3 linked regions of the Lepisosteus oculatus genome follow. The protein of the gene in region 2 purifies or fractionates together with the protein of the main gene of each other region. This does not show direct contact. Links are inferred from orthologs where the notes say so. Each region holds a gene or a part of one and is shown on either strand. Other genes may lie near its edges. The genes, in order: fbxw7, hsf1 and hspbp1.

Region 1 (5,361 bases), on a different chromosome or scaffold from region 2:
TCCAATACAATATGATTTGTGCATTGTGCACAGCACTATCATACCGTATGAAACTAAATACAAAGAAAAGCATTAATAACACAACCAACGAGCATTGGAACCAATGCAAGAGCTGCTAACAGTAACATTTTTAATTAAATGATAACATCCTTACACTTATTCCACTACCATTGGTAGCACTGAGCTGTGTTCACCAACGGCGGTGGTGAATCGGACCAACTGTCCAGCCTGGGGAAGTAGAGGGCTTCGGGTTCAAATGGGATACATTTGTACAGTACAGTATGCACTGTGGAGAGGTGATGTCAAATATTTTTCATCAACAAAAACAAAACTAACATCCAAGACTACAGAATCAGAGAAACAAGTTAGCAGTTTAAAATGTAATTTGTTAATACCTTCAGTTTCTTTCACAAATCCGCTGTGTAATCTCCCTTCTGCTTTCTTTGCTTATTCCAGCAGTCAGGTGAGATTCCTCCCTAAGTGCACTGACAGACGCGGAGTTGATTGGCTGGAGTGACACCACAATGCCAATGAGAATGGACAGACTAACTTTCAAATAATATATTTAATATGTATCACAAAGTGATGCAATCTGATGCAGAGTTTTAATACTTAGATGAGTAAACATGACGGGTTCTGTGAAAAAGCCTTTCATTATTTAACTTTTTTTTTCTTCATTCCCTCTGGATGAAGAGCTTTTGTCCCATAAAATGTAAGTTAACACTAAACCTGATTTTCTAAAGGGGCAAAAACAATTTAGTCTACACTTTCTAATTAGAGTTTGCGTCTTTGAATCATTGGGTATCAATCATTTTCAAACATTGGTCATTCATCTTTAGGAGATTTTATGACATCAAAATTAATAAAAATCAGACAAAATCCACTTTTTATTTGAGCTCTTTTGGCTTCATGTTTAAGAATAAGGATGATAAAGAATAAAAAAGAGTGTAGTTTACATTGCCCATTGGATGTATAGTCTTTACCTTTGTGAAATAATGTATGCTGAGCTAGAACATCATCAGGAGAATGACTTGAGGCAATGATACATGACTGAACAGACATGACATGAGTACTGGAAATTCAGTTTACGTTTGTCCTCAACAGGCTTGATCAACAGAGGAGTTACAGTCACATGCAAATAGCGTGTGGACACCACACGAAGCAGTACAAAACTGCAACATTTTTAGAGCCAGGTTGCAGATGCTGTTTTGTGGAATTGTGTTGAGATTCGACAAGTTCACTGATCGCTTGTTCACTGTTCTCTGAACCCTAGATGCCAGGTCACCCCACAAACGTTCAGTGGGGCTACTGTATGGTGAGTAGGGTATCCATGATGCAGCAGGTTGCAGATGCTGTCTTCTGTGATTGTGTCCCATTTCTCTTATACCACCTGGACAAGCACGTGTCCCTTCTCTTGTTTCTGAGCCCTAGTTACCACTCACTATCCCAATTCATCTGAACAAACATTCAATGGGACTCAAGTCTATCAGGTAGGGCATCCATGCCATCACTGTCTCGTTCTTATTTGCACACTAGTAGCATGAGAAGGTGCTTCACCTGGTTACAATCTTGTCATGTCAGGGTGAGCCCACAAGCAGGGCAGCAAGTAAGGAACTTGATCACCACAGCACCGTGCATACACACTGCCAACAATCACTACAAGTGGAGCTCTGTAGTGAACAGTCCTCCTCAGACCATGACAGCTGGACCCCCTGATCCAGATTGTGTTTAGTGGCCTCGAAGATCACGGCTTACTGTTGACAGACTGTGCTTCTCTGTGGTGTTTTGCCAGGTTATAAATGCCCGATAGCAAACACCTCAGACGCTAAGGAATAAGCAAAAACTATGTCACAGTCAATTGTGAACAATCAAAGTAACACCAAAACATTTCGGAAATATCAAACACCCATATGCTTTATGTTTCTAAAAAAAACATAAGTTGATTTCTTTTGGTGCGATTTTTCAGATGGTAGGGTGAGAGGATTGATTCACTGCCAAAGACCCATGTGCCAAATTTTCAAGATTAACACAATTCACATTTTTAAGCTTGAAAAAAAAAAATGAATTCATCTCTTCTGAATTCAGACAGCTAAAGGAAAACGTACAAGTTAAAACACAGTTCTTATGAACTAAGAAATTCAGAAATTCAATTTTGCACTCATTCTAGAACACAAATCCTGGCCACACCCAGGAAGGGGGCAAAAAGTCAATATTCCATATGATAAAACATTTAGAAGCCCTAAACAGAGACTATAAAACCTGAAAATCTATTTTTAAAGTAAACAGAAAGACGTTTAACAGCTCTAAATACTAATTAGCTTATATGTTTCATGTTCACTCCCATATTGCTCTGGTAAGTCTGTTTGGAGCTTTCACTGAATCATGAATGGCAAAGTCAAATCTCTGAATATTTACAATAACAATTCAGAAAGATCAACATACATATGCACACAGACATAAATGTATCATTCATGAAGCACAAGGAGCTGAGTATGCAAACCCCAACACTAACAAGAAGAGCAGTTTCCTAGACATCATGGCTGGTTGATAATTGCCCCTTTTCAGGCTGGTGACCCAAAAAGCAGCAGACAATTATCAAACAACCCCGCTACAAATGGACAGCTTGTTTCATTTCGTCTCTCCCTCTGACAAAAGACTCACTCCTTTCTCTCAATGAGTAGCAGCAGAGAGGCGGCAGACCACTAGAAATCTCAAAGCATCCATTAAGAGCGCTCACCGGTTCAAAGCAAACCTACAGTTGCCAGGACAGCCAGTAAATCACCTGATCCCATTACAAAATCAATTACTGCAGTGCATTTCCATTGCTACGCTGCCTGATGATGGCAAAATGATATTGGATAGTTACTGCAAGGTCAGGCATTAACCGATCATGTATACGTCCTCCCCGATTGCGACCTTATTTTAATATTCGCAGCACAATGGCGAAATGAACAAACTCGTGTCCGAAAACAGCACAACCCCAAAGTTGTTGTTTTTTTTAGCGGGACTCGCGCGATGAGAGCCCTTAGCAACAGTGGCGGACGCTGGCTTGCTGCGGCTTTACCTTGGGCTGTTTGGGACATCCGGTGGCCAGCCGCTGCAGGTGCTCTGAGGTGTGGCTGCAGGAGAGCAGGTCAGAGCAGCACGTGGAGCGGCCCAGCCTCTTCATCAAGGACGAGATAATGCTGCAGCCACAGCCGCACATTGACTTGCTCATCAGGGGCTGTGCTGCTCCAAGGAAAATAGTCAAAGGGATGCTCGCTGCCGAGGCTCCTGCTTCTATTTTTAGTTCTTTTCCTAATTTCTTTTCTTTCTCCTTTAAGCTGCCGATGCCCAGTTCCAAAGCTCGCTTCTCTGCCTCAGCTGCCCCACTTCTGGGAACGGCTCACATCCCCTGCTACAGTCGTCTGGCCCCCAGCCAGCATGCCACACAGCAAGCAAAACACCTGATGCTTCCCAGTGAGAACCTCTCCTTGCCGAGCAGCAGAATTATCCCCTGGGTGAAACTTGGAAGTTCTGAGATCCAAGGTGAGAGGCAGGTTTTGTTTTTCCCCCATAGGCAGGTACCGCTCTGTGGGTTCCCTGTGAGGCCCAGCACACCTCACCTTACTCCTGGCAATCTTCACTCAGCTGCTACTGTACTCCATCCATTCAACCTGTTTCTTCCCCCACACCCCCCCCTCCCCACACACTCCGACTTCCCTTCTTCCTTTCCCAGCACCCAGCCACACCCCTTCTCCTTCTACTCCTCCTCCAGGCTACAGATCCCTCTAAGCCCAGCCAGAGGAGCTACTGATGCTGCTGCCGTTTCCTCTCCTTCCTAGCTGCTGCTGTGTCTGCTGCTACTACATTCTTCTGATGCTGAAAAGCAATAAGGAGCCCCGGATAAATCCTCCGGCTCGCCAATCAAGCCTGCTGCCCTTTTCATGACACTAACGCTCCCAGGGACCCGTCAATCACCCAGCAGCCATAATGACATGCGAGGAAACCAAGCCACTTGACTCCCTCCTGGGCTTCGAAGTGGCAAGCATCAGATGGCTAAAAGCAAGCAGCAAACAAAGAGTTAAATCAAGGCTCCTCTCTGCCGCGGTTTGTCATTATTGCCCGCCACTCTGGCCAAGCGACTCAGCTTGCAGGTGACAAGACAGCAAATGCTACCCCCAATACCGAACTGCCTGCATAGCATCACATGTTCCTTTTAACAGAAAAAGGATTATGCAGCTCAATTTGTAGCCAAAGTAACAATGTCTGCTACTTACAGTAATAACAAGCGCATAACCTCACAACCCAAAGAAAAAGGAAACGGAGTGAACAAGAGCCAAGCTACCCGCAGATCTTAAGCAGAAGCAGATTACTTTAACCACTAAAGTGCTCCGAGCTGCTCCTCCTGCTCCGCATCCTGCTAATTCACCTCAGCAGCCTTGAAAGGCACGGGGCTCACCTTATCAGAGGTCTAACTTGACACTCCAGAGAAAGTCATTTCTTCCAAACTGCGATCTCATGCCCATTTCCATATATTTATACCGACATCAAGGTCACAAAAACAAATAAAGTGATAAAAAGACTTAAAGCACCGAACATAATGACTGGAAATACAGAGAAAATGAGCATCAGCAGGCACAGTAGCTGAAAAATAAGATCGTGGTTCAAGTTGTGGCACTTTGCCAGCGGTCTATAAATAGCAATGTACTCTCATTCAGCAAGGAGCCTGTTTAAAATAGTTTCATGGTAAAAGGACAGATCTAGATGCTGAAGCTAAAAAACACGAGGGCAGCTTTTCACAGGACAGGAGAGCTCACAGGTCTTTCTTTTATCTTTGAATTGAACAGTTGTTCCAACCAGGTAAGCAGTGTTACTACTGACTCCTACAAAGAGGACGTTCTCTCCACACTTGAGGTGTCTGTCTGTCTTTTCCGATTTCAATCTGTCAGAGTTCTTGGTGAAGTCCCAAGAGATTTACACAGCAGCCTACGCCACTCGCAGTAAACAGCAGCCGCAGATTGGGATTTGGACTATAAACAAGTAAACAGCACAGAAAGTCTCTTTCCCGTTTAAATCCAAGATGCTGTCTCGCAGGCTGCACCGAGTCTGACAGGATCGCGTGGAGACTTGAAGGGAGGTGACTTGCGCCAAGAACGATCGCCCCTCTCTGTCTCAATTCCTGCTGTCTTCATTCAGATCCTAGATCCAGCACACGCTTGGCTTTACTGCTAAAAGAGGCAAGACTATCGCTGAAAGCAAGAACTCTCAGAGTGATTTATTACCATAAAACAGAGTGTACAAAAGAAGCTGATGACAGCCTTGTTCAGACATTTAATGAAAAAAGGAAACCGTATATTAACCATTTGAGTGGACTGACAG
Region 2 (5,361 bases):
ACAGGATGCCAGTCCATCACAGGGCACACACAGACATGCCAAGACTCACAGCAGGGCTAGTTTTCCCAGAAGCCAATGAACATACCCAGTAAGCCAGCAGCCATATCACCCTGCAACTCACAACTGGCAACCCACTGAAGCTAAGCAGGTGTGAGCTGGAAGAGATGTTAATGGGGCAAACAGGGGTCACTCACCCTGCGGTATATGTGTCAAAATGCCCCAGTATAGTGACGGGGATACTATACTGTAAACAGGCGCTGTCCTTTGGATGAGACGTAAAACAGAGGTCCTGACTCTCTGTGGTCATTAAAAATCCCAGGGCGTTCCTCGAAAAGAGTAGGGGTGTAACCCCGGCGTCCTGGCCAAAATTCCCATCGCCCTTTATCAATCATGGCCTCCTAATAATCCCCCTCTATGAATTGGCTTCATTACTCTGCTCTCCTCCCCACTGATAGCTGGTGTGTGGTGAGCATTCTGGCGCACTATGGCTGCCGTCGCATCATCCAGGTGGATGCTGCACATTGGTGGTGGTGGTGGTGGAGGGGATCCCCATTACCTGTAAAAGTGCTTTGAGTGGAGTGTCCAGAAAAAGCGCTATATAAGTGTAAGCAATTATTATTATTATTATTATTATTATTATTATTATGTCACTGGACTGTGGGAGCAAACCGGAGCACCTGTAGGACATCCATACGAACAGGGGGAGAACATACAAACCCCACACAGATCAGTACCCCCAGGAATTTACCCCAGGGCCCTAGCGCTGCATGGCAGCATTGCTAACCACTGTGCCAGCAAATCCTAATGCTTTACTGAATACATACAACATTTGTCCAGCACATGTACATTGAGAGGCAACTACAACATTTGTCACTTAACTAAGGCTTTGAACCTATGAATTATACAACCCTATTAAGGTCCTTATGATGCCGAAATCACAAGTAAATTAAAAAAAAACACCTGGATATGAAACCAGAAATGATTATATTATTTTCTTCATAAATCTTTCGTTTACAGACGAAAGTGGCCACTGTTTCTGTCAGATAAACAAGTGGTTACGAACCTTACACTAACATATTAAGAGAACATAAGGCAGTCAGTAAACATTTAGTCAAAATATGTACTTTTTGTTATTCCCTTTAATAATCAATGTATGAGACTATCTAAGGTAGTGAAAAAACCATCTCTTAAAATGATACTCCAACGTTTTAAGACTCATTCCTTAAGGCAAATTGTAGGAATTAACTATGCGTTCCGTTTATAAATGAATACCTCAAATTAGAAATATACATTGTAATAAAATATTTTCAGAAAAGACACGCAGAAGTAAACACTGTTTTTCGAAGTTTAAATATTTGTTTATAGTGCTCTATAAACTGAGAAACATCTTGGCATTAAACGGTCCTGAAACTAGTTCATACTACTAGAAAGTATTTTGAACAAATAAAAAAAAATAATGTTTATTATTTTACCTGTTCCTCATCTTCTTCCGCTGTTCTTTTGAAACTTTTTTCTTTAGCTTTTCTACTCATGCTGCCGTTTTGCACAATTTCACTGAAGGCTGCAGACATGCTGTGGAGACTGACCATGTGGGACGCAGGGGTCAAGGTTTATAGTTCAGAGTTGAAATAAAAAAATCGTCGTTTATTACTACTTGAAATGAAAAAAATATTAACCAAAAAAATATAAATAATCTGCCCTGCTTTAAAGATATCTACGTAACATAAACAATTTTTCTGCAAATTGGGGTTAAAAGTCAAAGGCTCACGATATTTAATTTTTTAATCAACTCAAATTATGTTTTTCTAAAAACTATGTTTTTTCAATAGTGAATACTTCTACGAAATTCAATATACAATATATTTAATTTTATTGCTGCCGAAACCAAATGTGTATTTTGGGGTTTTTGGTGATGTCACAAAATGGCGACTACCATGCTAGTGTGGAATGTTTCGTTTCTACGCAGTTCGTAAAAATCCCTTTTTGGTGAAAAAATCAATGTCTTGATTTTCGATCGGCTAAAGGCAGGCCAGTGATAAGTGTCATTTAATTTACTGAAGGTCGAGAAGAGGAATAATACAACGTGGGATTAACGTTGCGACCCTTCAAGGCTGCTGTCTAGTTTTGAACTTCTGTGGTCTGCATATCGGATCTGTTTGTTGTTTTGTTTAGATTCTGCTTTACTTTGTGTTGCTTTCCTCCCTTCTTCTTTATTGTTGTTTTTCTGCTTTTATGGATATGGAATTTCATGGGGGTGGCTCTGGTGGAAGTTTGGTCAGTGGAAGTAATGTCCCTGCTTTCCTCACGAAACTTTGGACTTTGGTGGAAGACCCCGATACCGATTCGCTCATCTGCTGGAGTCCGGTAAGTGGGAGCACTGAAGGCGGATCTGGGCGACGAGAGACCAGATTCAGTTGTGTGAACATGGTTCAGTGACAGTAAACAAGCTGGGATGTTGCTTACTTTTATTTGTTTTGCGATCCTTCAGTGCATTTTATTTTCAGTTTGTGTTTCGGTTTGACCCCCACCTACACACGTTCGTCTTATTTTTAGCAGGTTGTTATAAAAAGTGTGTCTCTTTTCATTATAAATGTCATTTTGCCAGTCAGAGGCGAAGGCTGCTGATCATTCACCACAGGGTGATCATTTACTTGAATAAGCTTATATCTGTTGCAGTTTAATGGCAGCTGCCGGAATGGTTTGTGTTATCCTAAGAGATCTGTGAAAATCACTCTTATCTCGCCTTTTCGGATTTGTTTTCTTGAGTTTCGTGGAAGCGGGTGCGAGTTTAACCCCCCCCCCTTGTAGTTGTGAAAAGCAGGCAGACGACACTTGTTGCCAGTTGAGGGAGAGGCCATTTCATTGGGAAAAGGGGGTGTGGCCGCTATCTCTAACCTGAAATCGAAGTACTGGTGACCGACTCCGCGAATCCGAAAGGACAATCGATTAGTGGGAATCGAAACGAAATGATTGGTTTTGGTCTGCGGGAAATTGGGATTGGGATTGGTTTAAGTAGACAAACGCAACGTTAATGCTATTTTTGTGGGGCCTAATGGAGGCCTGGCCCGTAGTCTAAACCCCCCCAGATGAGCTGCTTGCGCTCATTGGGAAGAGCCCCTGCAAATTTCGGTTCCGCACGACCTTTTGAATTAAAACGCGACCGATTCCTTACGGTTTACTCGCACCGTGAACCAGACCGTTTAACATCTTTGGAGCTCGGAAACTTTATCGGCAGTAAATACTGAGGAGGGGAGGAGGGGGTCTGTCCAAGTGCGTTTCGGTTGGTTTGAAGTATGAGTGCGAACTCATTGCTGTTCAGAGTTCGTGCAGGATGGAGGCCGTGCGGGTGAAACCGCCGCACGGCTAAAAGTTCCCATATGCACATAAAGGATTATTTTCGGTGACTTTAATTGGGCCCCCTTGCTCTTTAACACAGGTCAAGAAAAATGTCATCACTCATTTTTACTGCTTTGCGTCACAACCTATTATGGACTACTTTTGGGAGAGCATGCAAATTTAAAAGTAGTTTAAAAGTCCCCTGGTGTCAATTAACCATTTGGGCAGAGCGAGTGAATTTAAGATGGCGTTGTATTCCTCACGTATCGCTTTAAAGGAGTGCACGTTTGGACAATAAGTCCTTGGAAATGTTGGTGTTTAAAGTCTGCCTTCTGTGACTCTACAATTGAAAGAAAGGTGTGTTAACTCTATTTTGAGTTTTGAACGTGCTTGCGAATTTGTCCAGGAAGTACATATCATAATAGGCTTCACCTCAAATGAAAGATGATATTATTGTCTTGCTTAGGTTAAACATTTTGCATAAAGCATTTATGTGAAGTCCTAAGCATAGATTTGATAAATGAAGAGAAATAAGATCCGGGAAGTTGTAGCTCGTAATCGTCTCTACCTCTTCCTTCACTATGCTTTGTGGTCTTCTCCCCTCTACTCTGGCCATTATTGTCTTGCTTTGTTTCGACTACTCCCCCTACCAAAACCCGCCGGTACTGCAGCGCGTATGTTGTCATGGCCTTAGTTTTGACCAACTTTTCCCCTCGCAAGATGGCTACCATATATGAAAATGTAAAAGAAAACACTTGAAGAGTTCAAAATTAAATTAGTCATCCATTCATTTTTTTCTGCTTAAAGCATCACAGCAAATATTTGACAGTCCTGTGTGTTTTATATATCATAAATATTTAAAATAACCTGTTTTTTTTAACATGGTGTGCCACAAAGACATATTCATGCCACGCAGACTGCATGAATTACCAGGTCCTACATCAAGATGTAGGACAGAAAGACAACAATCAATAATTCAATTTAAGTTATATAATTATGTGATTATGCATAATGTATTGATTTATATAATTCATTAAATTTCATTCAATATTTACTTTTTTCATTAGCTGTTTCCCCTAATTCCTCTTTTGTTTTGTTCAGTTACTGGTGAACTCCAAGCATTTGTTAAGGCAAATAGATATAATGTGTGAGGCCAAAATTAGGTAGGAGATGTATGGAGTTAACATGGACCTAAATGTGAAAGAAGCTTAAAATGGAAGTGATAAAATGGTGTCTAGCACCCAGTGCTCAGAGCAGATTAGGCAACTACAAAAAAGTCCGAAATATCTAAAGTTTTCTTATCATCTGAGAAGTGGAAGGAAATCAGCTCAGGTTGTGTAGGCTTACAGTTGAAGAACAGGACTATTCAGTCCTAACATGTAGAGCTTATTGTGGCAATCTGGTACAGAGAATATCCCTTGATCTGTTTAAGAGAAGCAAGGTTTTACAGTTTCAAATAACCATCTTCCAGAGGGAAGCTCTTCACTTAACCCGTCTTTTAATTGCTAAGTCTAGCGCCCTTCACAACACTTTGTCACAAAGCTCTTCACAAAGACTTCATCGTGACATAAATTGCTGAGCCACTTAACACTGAAGTGTGAATGGCAAAAACGCAGATGAAACTCTGCATGTGGGGACATCGCAAAGAAATGCGGAGGTCCTGCAATTTTTTATTTATTTCTGCTGGGTTTTGTGAAGGCAAGAAACAGCTGTGTACCCGTTTGAGTCCGTGAGGCTCACAGACAATGGTGTTCCACTGGTGTTTTTAATTTGTTCAAACTGGAGCAAAGTGACGGTAAGGTTTGTGACAGGGATCATCTTATCTCAGTGTTGAAAGACTGTAGTGTTTTTTTGGTTAATGGATATTACAGCATTTATGTTAACCGATTGACAGATACTTTTGGGATATCTGAAGAGTATGGGACTAAAGACTGCAGAAATATGTCTATGTTCTTCAAATAAAATTGTTGAGGGACATCTTTTGTGCTGACAGGCTTACAACAGGTTAAAGGTTTATTTTGTCCA
Region 3 (5,361 bases), on a different chromosome or scaffold from region 2:
GTCAATAACCCCTCACACCTCTACAGCCCCTGTCTGGACCCTCCACCCAGAGCTCTTCCCAGGTCAGGGGGAACCCCACTACCCCCACCAGTGTGCAGCCCCACCTGGATGATGCTCCAGTCCTCTCACACACACCAGCTCTCAGTGGGAGGAGAGCAGAGGGATGGAGCCAGTTCAGAGAGGGGGGTTATTAGGAGGCCATGAGGGGTAAAGGCCAGAGGGGGAATTTGGCCAGGACACTGGGGTAACACCCCTACTCTTGTCGAGAGACACCCCGGGATTGTTAATGACCACAGAGAGTCAGGACCTCGGTTTGACGTCTCATCCGAAGGACGGCGCCTGTTTACAGTCTAGTGTCCCCGTCACTATACTGGGGCATGAGGACCCACACAGACCGCAGGGTGAGCGCCCCCTCCTGGCCCCACTCACACCTCTCCCAGCAGCAGCCTCAGCTTTCCCAGGAGTCTCCCCTCCAGGTACTGGCCAGGGTCCCGCCTGCTGGGCTCCAGTGGGGTGTGTGAGCTGGGAGCTGCAGGGGCTGGACTGGCACAAACCGAGACGCCCAGATACAGACTCATCACAGTAACACACCCCAGACACTTCTGCATTTTGGAGGATATAAATAATAACAACAGGAATAATAATCATATACTAGAGAGAAACATTATAGGGATATATAGAAGAAATAACATACATAAAATACGACATAACTAATATATAATACATGTTCTAGATGTAAATATACTTTGGATTTAAATATAATAGGGCCTACTATATATAAAGCATATACTTATTAGTAAATAATTATTATATACCCATATTATACTTTCTTGAATACGGTTATATATAATATGGTCTGATATATTTCTGCATTTATTATATAACAATGATATATTCCTATTATATATATTACATGAGGGATCAATATAATCGAGCCTGTTAATATATATACTTATTCCTATGTAATTTATTATCATACATATATATAATATCTATGTATTTCTTATTATATATCCCTATTATATTTATTACATGGACATAATCAGGCCTGTCTGTCTCCATGCCCACGGGGAAGAGTCACGCAGACACACTGCAGAGGAAAACTCCGACGCTTGTCCGCAGCTCCGGCCTCGAGGGCGCCGCGGTCACAGACTGACCGGCGCGGGCGGGCGGGCGGACTCGAGCTCGGCGCCCCTTGGGCAGTTACCTCCTCGGACATGGGCTCCGTGGGGGCGGGCTCATCGGAGGCGGAGCCAGCCTCCACAGCCAACCGCAGGAGGCCTTGAAGGTTCTGTGGGTTGGGCCTGTTGCCTCTGCCCTCGGCCATACTGCCTAATGAGAGAGAGAGAGAGAGAGGGGTTAATACAGACACACAGACTGGACACTCCAGTACATTAACACTGCACTGAGAGAGAGAGGGGTTCATACAGACACACTGACTGGACACTCCAGTACATTAACACTGCACTGAGAGAGAGAGGGGTTAATACAGACACACTGACTGGACACTCCAGTACATTAACACTGCACTGAGAGAGAGAGGGGTTAATACAGACACACTGACTGGACACTCCAGTACATTAACACTGCACTGAGAGAGAGAGGGGTTCATACAGACACACTGACTGGACACTCCAGTACATTAACACTGCACTGAGAGAGAGAGGGGTTCATACAGACACACTGACTGGACACTCCAGTACATTAACACTGCACTGAGAGAGAGAGGGGTTCATACACACACACTGACTGGACACTCCAGTACATTAACGCTGCACTGAGAGAGAGAGGGGTTCATACAGACACACTGACTGGACACTCCAGTACATTAACACTGCACTGAGAGAGAGAGGGGTTAATACAGACACACTGACTGGACACTCCAGTACATTAACACTGCACTGAGAGAGCGTGCTGGTATTTGTTTTGGCAGTAGAACGACAGTCATTCCCAGGTGATTTGAATGTCGATTTGAATTGGAGAGATCATGAAACGCGATAAGACCAACTTATGAAACATGAAGAACAGGGAGCCACAAGGCACAGAGACGCACATCACCTCTGAGGCATCAGAAGTTTGAGATTTTTTTAGAGGCAGAAAGAGTCATTAATAATAATAATCCCTCACACTTGTACAGCCCCTGTCTGGACCCTCCACCCAGAGCTCTTCCCAGGTCAGGGGGAATCCCACTACCCCCACCAGTGTGCAGCCCCACCTGGATGATGCTCCAGTCCTCTCACACACACCAGCTCTCAGTGGGGAGGAGAGCAGAGGGATGGAGCCAGTTCAGAGAGGGGGGTTATTAGGAGGCCATGAGGGGTAAAGGCCAGGGGGGGGAATTTGGCCAGGACACTGGGGTAACACCCCTACTCTTGTCGAGAGACACCCCGGGATTGTTAATGACCACAGAGAGTCAGGACCTCGGTTTGACGTCTCATCTGAAGGACGGCGCCTGTTTACAGTCTAGTGTCCCCGTCACTATACTGGGGCATGAGGACCCACACAGACCGCAGGGTGAGCGCCCCCTGCTGGCCCCACTCACACCTCTCCCAGCAGCAGCCTCAGCTTTCCCAGGAGTCTCCCCTCCAGGTACTGGCCAGGCTCCCCCCTGCTGGGCTCCAGTGGGCTGTGTCAGCTGGGAGCTGCAGGGTGATATTAAGATCGGTTCGGCCGATTTCATTCGGTCGGTACTGAGACTCCTCCCCCCGTCCCGACACTGCATCAAGCTGCAGAAGAGGCAGTGGTATCGGGGTACCCCGGCACGCTAGCAGGGGCGCAGAACCGAACGAAGAGGAGGGGAGGTCTTCCCTGAGCCGAGGGTCCCCCGATCTCAGCCCCCGCGTTCTGCTCGAAATGCGGCTCCGCTCTCGACCGGGTGGCGCGATCGTGGGTCAGAGGCCCCGCTGGATCGGGCCGGGCGGCGCGATCGTGGGTCAGAGGCCCCGCTGGGCCGGGCCGGCGGCGTGATCGTGGGTCAGAGGCCCCGCTGGACCGGGCTTCACCCCGGCCGAGACTTGAACCCGCTCCCACCCCCTCCCCTCCCCTCCCTCCAGAGTTCCCACAGCCACAGAAAACACACACCGTCCGGGACCGGGACCGGAGACGATCTGCCCCACCGCGGCACAGCCCCGGGGGGAGTCATGGCTGTGCCTTTCCCACTATTATCTCCTCTCTCTCACTGTGTCTCCTGTCCTGCTGTGTGTGTTTATCACTGAGGGACTCTCTGTGATCTCCTCTCTCTCACTGTGTCTCCTGTCCTGTTGTGTGTGTTTATTACTGAGGGATTCTCTGTGATCTCCTCTCTCTCACTGTGTCTCCTGTCCTGCTGTGTGTGTTTATGACTGAGGGGCTCCCTGTGATCTCCTCTCTCTCACTGTGTCTCCTGTCCTGTTGTGTGTGTTTATCACTGAGGGACTCTCCGTGATCTCCTCTCTCTCACTGTGTCTCCTGTCCTGTTGTGTGTGTTTATCACTGAGGGACTCTCCGTGATCTCCTCTCTCTCACTGTGTCTCCTGTCCTGCTGTGTGTGTTACTGAGAGATTTAGTGACTCTCACTATATATTTTAAAAAACAAACACAAGATGCTCGCTCACCTGGACCCTCGGCACCGCAGTCCAGGCCGGTCCCGTCACGAGGTCCCTCCTCGGTGCAGCCGACGCCCGGCTGTTTTCGCGTCCGGACGACCCCCCTCTGGCGACACCACTACCAACAGCGAGGCCCGACGCCGTGGGGGCGGATATTCCCGAGATCAGGGCACGACGGGGTTTCCAGCACAGGCCTCCCCTCTCGCGGCGTGTTTATACGGGCGGAGAGCGGTAGAAGCTTCTGGAGGGGACGGGCCCGCCGACATGGCGTGGGGACTCCACGGGCGCGGCCATATTGGAAAGCGCCGCTACCGTAAAGGCACGAATAGAGGCGACCGCGCATTTATCCCCTCCCCGGCAAATACCGCTTCCTCCGATTAGAAGGGCCGCGGTAGGAGCTGCAGAAAACCCGACTTTTAAGTGTCCGATTGGAGCCGATTCGTGATTTTTTTTTACAGCTCTTAAATAGATCACCGTGGTTTGTGCAACATCTTAATATATCCTGGGGTTTGGAGCTGTGTGTAAGTGTGTGTGTGTGAGCGTCTATGAGATCAGAGTGCGTCTGTATGTGTGAGTATGTGCATGTGTCTGTGTGTGTAATTTTGTGTGTGAGGGTCTGAGAGTTCAGAGCGTGTCTGTACGTGTGTGCATGTGAGTTTGTGCATGTGTGTGATTATGCTGTGTGTGTGGGTCAGAGAGTTCAGAGTGTGTCTGTGTGTGTAATTTTGTGTGTGTGGGTCAGAGAGTTCAGAGTGTGTCTGTGTGTGAAATTTTGTGTGTGTGGGTCAGAGAGTTCAGAGTGTGTCTGTGTGTGAAATTTTGTGTGTGTGGGTCAGAGAGTTCAGAGTGTGTGTGTGTAATTTTGTGTCTGAGGGTCTGAGAGTTCAGAGTGTGTGTGTGTAATTTTGTGTCTGAGGGTCTGAGAGTTCAGAGTGTGTCTGTGTGTGTAATTTTGTGTGTGTGGGTCAGAGAGTTCAGAGTGTGTCTGTGTGTGTAATTTTGTGTGTGTGGGTCAGAGAGTTCAGAGTGTGTCTGTGTGTGTAATTTTGTGTCTGAGGGTCTGAGAGGTCCGAGTGTGTCTGTATGTGCGTGATCATGCTGTGTCTGTGTAATTTTGTGTGTGAAGGTCTATGAGATCAGAGTTGGTATATCTGTGTGTGTTTACGTGCTGCATCTGTGCTGAAATCTGACCAGTTGCACTTGAGGAGAAACTCCGTGTTTGAGTGTAAGATACAGCTCTGAGACCTGAGCTCTGGGCTGTCCAGTCTGTAATAAATGTAAATGATACACAGTCCCTTAAGCTGGGTACATTTGAAACCAAAGTCTGGGTGCAGAAAAAAGTCAAAACAATGAAATTGGTTATAGAAACTAATTAGCAACAGTGATTAAGGGCCCAGACTCAGGATTGATAAACACTGGCTAAAGTGTGTCTATACAATGTCGAGTCTGTACAGGTGTGTGTGTCTATACAGTGTCTCCAGTAAGAGTCTGTACAGGTGTGTGTCTATACAGTGTCTCCAGTAAGAGTCTGTACAGGTGTGTGTGTGTCTATACAGTGTCTCCAGTAAGAGTCTGTACAGCTGTGTGTCTGTACTGTGTCTCCAGTAAGAGTCTGTACAGCTGTGTGTCTGTACAGTGTCTCCAGTAAGAGTCTGTACAGGTGTGTGTCTATACAGTGTCTCCAGTAAGAGTCTGTACAGGTGTGTGTGTCTATACAGTGTCTCCAGTAAGAGTCTGTACAGGTGTGTGTGTCTATACAGTGTCTCCAGTAAGAGTC

The links.
Region 1: the proteins of hsf1 (region 2) and fbxw7 purify together in Homo sapiens (affinity purification with western blotting; 4 studies listed by BioGRID, with this or other methods). This does not show direct contact. The link is inferred for Lepisosteus oculatus from reciprocal best matches to the Homo sapiens genes HSF1 and FBXW7.
Region 3: the proteins of hsf1 (region 2) and hspbp1 purify together in Homo sapiens (affinity purification with mass spectrometry; 5 studies listed by BioGRID and IntAct, counting the BioPlex papers as one, with this or other methods). This does not show direct contact. The link is inferred for Lepisosteus oculatus from reciprocal best matches to the Homo sapiens genes HSF1 and HSPBP1.

Annotation. Positions count from the first base shown.
Region 1 is NC_090696.1:25,229,445-25,234,805, reverse strand, and holds the start of fbxw7 (F-box/WD repeat-containing protein 7), read right to left. Parts: upstream 3,233-5,361; 5' UTR 3,218-3,232; coding exon 3,065-3,217; intron 1-3,064. UniProt on the Homo sapiens protein: Substrate recognition component of a SCF (SKP1-CUL1-F-box protein) E3 ubiquitin-protein ligase complex which mediates the ubiquitination and subsequent proteasomal degradation of target proteins.
Region 2 is NC_090705.1:33,077,430-33,082,790, reverse strand, and holds the start of hsf1 (heat shock factor protein 1), read left to right. Parts: upstream 1-1,912; 5' UTR 1,913-2,232; coding exon 2,233-2,364; intron 2,365-5,361. Other genes in the region: ribosome biogenesis protein bop1, read right to left, coding at 1,473-1,589. UniProt on the Homo sapiens protein: Functions as a stress-inducible and DNA-binding transcription factor that plays a central role in the transcriptional activation of the heat shock response (HSR), leading to the expression of a large class of molecular chaperones, heat shock proteins (HSPs), that protect cells from cellular insult damage.
Region 3 is NC_090702.1:1,501,520-1,506,880, reverse strand, and holds the start of hspbp1 (hsp70-binding protein 1), read right to left. Parts: upstream 3,909-5,361; 5' UTR 3,594-3,908; intron 1,333-3,593; 5' UTR 1,328-1,332; coding exon 1,208-1,327; intron 1-1,207. UniProt on the Homo sapiens protein: Inhibits HSPA1A chaperone activity by changing the conformation of the ATP-binding domain of HSPA1A and interfering with ATP binding. Interferes with ubiquitination mediated by STUB1 and inhibits chaperone-assisted degradation of immature CFTR.